Saccharomyces cerevisiae S288C: one gene and its partner. Changing the gene in region 2 together with the main gene of any one other region gives a genetic interaction. Each region holds a gene or a part of one and is shown on either strand. Other genes may lie near its edges.

Region 1 (3,715 bases), on a different chromosome or scaffold from region 2:
CAGTGGTAGTGGCTGTTGCCTTTATGTGCCTGGACTCAAGACTGACATGTCTCCATAACGCTAGGTAGCATTTTTATATACTTAACAAAAGTTGTAAAAAATAAAAACAAAAATTATATATATGGACTCGACAAAATACAGTGGGATGGATGTTTAAAAAAAATAGGGTAAGAAAGGAAAAAGGAAATATAATAAAGAAAGCCTTCAGAAAATACGTTCTTTATTTTTATCACACTATTAGCAATGACTTTCACATTTTAAAGGAAAATAATAGTATTAAAAATTAAACAGTGACGAAGGAAGGAAATAAGACACAGAAAAACTAAAAAAATAGAGTAAGTTTATAGGCCCTTTTATTTTTCGAGCAATAGTAAATTGAGTTTCTTCTTCTTTTTCTCTCCCTTTTTCGTAGTAATTTTTTTTTTAAAAATAGTATAATATAATGAATGGATTCTTGTCGTTCTTTTTTTATTTTATCTTGGGATTTGTAGGTTGCCTCTCTTTATTCTTTCTTTTTGTTTCATTCCACTTTTCTTCATAATATTTATTGTTGTTGCTGCTGTTGCTGCTGTTGCTGTTGTTGCTCAGACATAACCGGTTGTTGTTGGTCATTCATTATAAGTGGCTGACCGCCCTGTTGCTGCTGCTGTGGCATAAAATTTGATCTTTCCTTACCCCAACCGGTTCTCAAGTTTCTGCCTTGAAATGGGAAGTTTGCCAAGGCAACAATACAAACAGCGGCCTGTTCATGAGTGTCATACTTTATGAAGCAACAGCCCTTTTCTGGATAGTGCTTGAAATCTAAAATAAAACCGAAGTTCTGGAACAACGGAATTAAATCAGCTTCAGTGGCAAAGTGCGGAATATTACCGATATAGGCAGTAGTAACTCTTGGTGGGGCACTTCTAATGATGTGGTCAACAGCTTGAGGATTTACTTGAGGAGGTAAACCAATGGTCTGGGATTGTTGGGGTTGGCCTTGAGATGGTAATGGCATGGCGCCAATTGGCATTCCCATTGAACTTGGTGGCATGCCCCTGCTGTTGTTCATATTCATATTCATGTTCATATTCATCCCCATATTCATGTTGTTATTGTTGTTACTGTTATATTGACGGAAACCACCACGGTTGTTGTTACCGTAGTTACGACGCTGTTGATAATTATTATTGTTATTGTTATCACGCTTAGCAGCCCAGTTGATTCTTAGCGGTCTACCATTCAAATCTTGACCTTGCATGCTGTCCATGGCATTTTGTGCATCATCTTGAGAAGTAAAGGAAACAAAACCGTAACCTCTTGAACTACCAGTTTGCATGTCCCACATAACATGACCACTCAAGTAGGATGGGAAGTCTTTGAAGGCATTCCTTAAAGTTTCGTCATCAACATTAACATTCAAATCACCGACAAACAAGTTAAATGTATCATCGGAGGAACTCTGTTGGGATTGGAAGGCCCAGTTGATTTTGACAATGTTGTTTTCAATTTGTTTGCCGTTCAATGTTTGTAAGGCAATATTGGCATCGTGAGATTGATGGTATTCAACAAAAGCGTAATTGACGTTCTTATTATTCTTATCGATCATGATTTTGATGTTAGCAATTGGTCCGCCAACTTGGAAATATTGCTTTAAAATGTCTTCGGTGATAGCTTTGTCTAGGTTACCAACATATAAAACTCTATCGGAAGTTTCCCTACCACCGGTAATAGCATTAGCAGGAACTACGGAAGGATCATTTTCACCCTGATTGTCTTCAGCTTGTTCAGAATTGCCTTCGACAGCGACGCTCTGTTCAGAAGAAGGATCTGCTGATGCTGGAGCTTCAACTGCCGAGGGAGTTTCGACGGCAACAGGTTGCTGTTGTTGTTGTTGTTGATGTTGTTCTTCGTTATTTTCAGACATTGGAATCGAACAAAGAGTAGATGTGGTAATCTTCTTATTATGAACCTGCTATTAAGATGATAGAAGGGAAGATTAAACTCTAACTTAAAGCACGAAATGGAAACAGTAGATATTATGAAAATAACTGCAGAGTAGAAAAAAGGAAAGGCATGCTTTACCGTAGTTGAATGATTATTACGAGAGGAAAATGAAGGACAAGGAAAGACGGCCAACGATGAAAAAAAAAAATTGAAAAATTACAACAAAAAAGAAGCGAAGGCAAAAAAAGTTGAAAAAAGTACGAAGTGAAAATACGTAAAGAATTATGTTACAAAATGATGAAAAGAGAACGAGTAAATATTCTCTTTGAATTAATTAGTATACGTTAGGATAATTAATCTTCAGAGGTTTAGTAAGAACATTGTGCTTACAACCGCAACGCGTAAACCTTATGCTAACAAGCCTCTTCGTTCACCTCCCTTGTAACGGCAGTGGGAAGGGTAAGCAAAATAAATCACATTGCGAGAAATGTAAAAAAAGAATGGTCTCTAGCGGGATCGAACCGCTGATCCCCGCGTTATTAGCACGGTGCCTTAACCAACTGGGCCAAGAGACCATTGTTATCTGTTTTTCACCCTCCCTCCACACTATCAAACCAACGTCACAAATGTGTGCCAGAACCACCGCTCATTATCTCTGTGCCACAAAAATCAACTTACACTGTCATTCGAATTTCCGGCAAACTCCGACTGAGAAATGTTCGTACTACTTCCTTTCTAGGGCACATTAAAGGAAAAACTCATTGAATGCACCCTTCACAAATCTTAATATCTCTGACCTTTGCATTGTATTAACCAAGCAACCCTCCCTGTGCAAGTAGAAGCCCTGGATCCTTTGTGGTCGTAAAATGAACAAATACCAATAAGACGAAAACAAAAACAAAAACAAAACGACATAGCAACAATGCGGAATTATTTAAGGCTGGCACTCTTTCCGCATGTTTATCACAATTATTTCCACTTTCACTTAAAACCTTGTTTAAGCTTGGCCTACACCACAGGAAAAAAAACCATCCGATCTAATCTTCAAATATCAATTTGAGGTTGAAAAAATTTGCTAAAGCGTTGGTCTAATTTTGTTTTTCGCCCACATAATGTCTACATCTTTCCAGGAGTTCAAGGCCTTCTGCAACAAGGTTGGGCTAGACTTTCAATGGCTTAATTTGCAATCCTCCAAGTCTGTTCCCGAAAACGGTTCCTCTGAAGGTTTCTCAGCCGTCAGTGATACCGTACAAGAAAACATCAGACCAGCTACGGAACCACTTAACGTCAACCAGTCCAAAGATCCTGTCAGCAACTTTTTTTATGATGTCAAGAATGCTCCACTCTGGAACGTGTATAAGAGGAATCATTCCGGTCATTCTTCTGCTGAGGCTTGTTCTGGAGTAAGTTCAAGGCAGGCGCCAAAAAACATACCCGAGGCAATGGTAAAAGAGACAGTCCTTTCTAATCACGACAATGTCACCATAATAAACGAATTACTGCCAACTTCTTCTGCCATGCATCAGGAAGAAAGCACCGCTATGACAACCTCCTACCTCTTATCCCACTCCGTAAACGATACTTGCAACGTGATGTTTTCTTCCTCCTCCCACAACCGTGCTATGCTCCCATCTTCTCTTGTGCAAAGAAATAACGCTACCACATCTCCCACAACAGACTCTGCATCAGAAAACAACGAATCGGTACCCTCACTAACCTCATCTGTTAGCACATCCTCATCAGTTTATTCGTCATGGAATCCTCCTCATTCTCCACACATATCGTCATT
Region 2 (2,704 bases):
AACCACTTGAAAATAAATCATAAGAATAGCATAAGCACCAGCTCAATTTAGATGTCTGTACAAAAAGTAATATATTTTAGAGATGAGCAGGCAGAACCACACATTAGTGACGATTGTCTTCGACCTTATGTGGAATCTTAAGCTTTAACATATAAGTAAAAATTTTTATTTTCAACAAAAGATTAGAACGAAATGAAATTCCTTAATTGAACCTTCTCTTGGATATCAATCTATTGGCAATCATTCCTAGAGAATATATTATTGAGTGAAAACTGTAGATACGTGCTAAGCGGTAAAGCCCTTATGAACATCGTCACACTATCTCTATATTGAGCCTCCGTAAATTTCGAATCATTTGAAATTCATTTTTCCTGGTAGGAAGATACTTGATAGTGGAGGATAAGTAAAGTAAATTGTGGTTATCATTTATTTGGTGGTAAAGTACCTTTTTTATGTTTTTTTTGAAGATGGAAATTCAGGCATTTTAAAAAAATAGAAAGCTCGAAATATCTCAAAAAACATAAAAATAGAGGAAGAATCCGCTGAATATACCATCTTTACAAACTACTTAACTATTTATTTTTAAATATAAAATTTTTAGTACCATCATCGGAGGATTGTTGCGATCGTATTTTTTTCTCCATTTTTTTCCTATATGCTATGCCACATCGACTACATAGCTCAACATTTCCATTAGGTCCACTTCTCCACTGAGAAGTCCAGGTGTCACCACAAGTGGCGCACTCTTTTGGTTGACCGTTGGGGAGTATAGTTTGTTTCTTCCTACTTTTAGGTCTATATCCTGCTAAAGATTTCTTTCCATTGGATGATATTGGTAGTGATGAAAAAGATGGGGCTGGTAGAATAGAGGGGTTATGCAAAGGCCCACCAAGACGACTTTCTTCCTTCAATTTTGGACTCAGCGCACTATTTAAGCTTTTGATCTTCTGTTCAAGAATATCTGCTCTTTTTAAATCTGGCGTGACACCAGATTTCGGGATACTGGCTACTGAACAGCAATAATTGGGATTAGCGGCAATGAACAGAACCATTTGTACAAAACGATCGAAGTGGAATTTCGTTCTACGACCAGAGCTACTAGCGCCGCTTGTTCCCTGCTCTTTGTTATATAACATAATATGATTTAAAAGTTCTATCACTCAGCACTACAACGCAGTATTTTTATTCTAGATGACCAGTATAGCAAATATTGTTACCCTTGAGATATTGGTAATTTAACCAAATCTCAAGTCATAAATGCCTCCCTTTTAAGTTTACATAGGCAGTGGACAGATTGGTACATCATATTAAAGGAAATAATGAACGCTAAAAAGAATGCCTTTTACTGACACATTCACTTTTAATACGAAAACGGATTTTGTGGTATATGACGTTGAGCACTGCGTGGTTTTCTGTGAATCCGCCGTGCCTAAAATGGACCCTTAATTATTTAACAATAGACCGGCCCGAATAATGTTAACATGAAGGGAAAAGTGCACATAACTGCAAACTACTTTGGTAGGTTGATTATCAGAGCTAAGCCATCCTACAGGTAATGATTTCCAAATTTTTTCTTAAGTAAAAAAGTTCAGAAAATAGAAGAAATATAAAATTTAAAAGGAATTACTGTTTACGAGACACATCGTTCATTCTTGGATAAATATACAAATCTACTTAAGAAAAAGCTTTCCTTATTTGTTGTTTCCTACTTTGTACCATTTGGTTTATTATATATCGTTGTGGAAAAGAAACTTGGTCTCTTGAATCTTAGTCGCAAAAGAAAATTTTTACCCACATAGGTAATGGAAAAGAGACAAAATTATTTCTGGACCTTATTCAAGAGGATGAATTTGAAGCATTTATTAATAATGAATATGATTGTGCGCTTCTAAGAAAAACTCACGGGTAATTTGGCTTAAAATGATTCACTAATGCCACGCTCAGATTCCACCAAATACGGTTAAAAAATCAAAAATAAATGAACTTCATTTGGTCATTTTTACTGCTAAAAAGTGGAAGATGAATTGCGGATGATATGAAAAATTTGAGTGAATAAACTATGAACGCGAAAAAAAGAATATATATGCGGAATAAAATATCAAAGTAAAAGATTCAAAGAGCATGTCTAACTTATAACATATACGGTCGAAGTCACCAAATGAATATTGTTATTTTCACTATAGTTAATCGCATTTTATACTGATGTTTTAACAGGGTTCGTTAAATTAAACAATATTTTACACAGGTGCTTCAGGAACATCATTATGATGATCATGTAAAGCGTTATCATCAGTGGTCTTACCAGGAGATTCAAGATTTTCATCTGTTGACTCTTGTTCTTGTTCTTCTTTTTCTGTTCTCAAGAAGTAGTATATTCTATCCGTCAAATCTTCGTCATTAATAAGTTCATTAATCTCATTCCATGAAAGCTTTTGAAGCTTATTGAAGCTCTTGATCTTTTTGCGGAGATTGAAATAATCAATTTTTGACACTCCAGGAACATTCAACAGTCTCTTGAATTTAGACTCGTTATCACCATCCTTCAGGCCCTTTGCAGTGCTATTAAAATCCGATCTAACTTTATTCGTTCCCAATATAACTGCATTACTAGGGTCAGGTTGCTCACGTCCTAATTTCAACTCTAGGATTATATTTACAGTTTGCAGGGGTGAGGAAGACCATATAATCTTTAAAGTGGGAAACC

The links. Genes that interact genetically often act in the same process or in processes that back each other up.
Region 1: mutations in ECM23 (region 2) and PUB1 together harm fitness more than expected from each alone (negative genetic interaction), as found in Saccharomyces cerevisiae (2 studies listed by BioGRID).

The regions. Positions count from the first base shown.
Region 1 is NC_001146.8:601,098-604,812, reverse strand, and holds PUB1 (Pub1p), read right to left. Parts: upstream 1,907-3,715; coding exon 545-1,906; downstream 1-544. Other genes in the region: YNL018C (uncharacterized protein), read left to right, coding at 3,039-3,715. UniProt on the Saccharomyces cerevisiae protein: May be associated with hnRNA within the nucleus and remains associated during nucleocytoplasmic mRNA transport, once the proteins are in the cytoplasm, disassembly of PUB1-RNA complexes may occur prior to PAB1 binding and formation of a translationally competent RNP complex.
Region 2 is NC_001148.4:509,533-512,236, reverse strand, and holds ECM23 (Ecm23p), read right to left. Parts: upstream 1,137-2,704; coding exon 573-1,136; downstream 1-572. Other genes in the region: ssDNA endodeoxyribonuclease RAD1, read right to left, coding at 2,238-2,704. UniProt on the Saccharomyces cerevisiae protein: Involved in morphogenesis. May be involved in cell wall organization and biogenesis.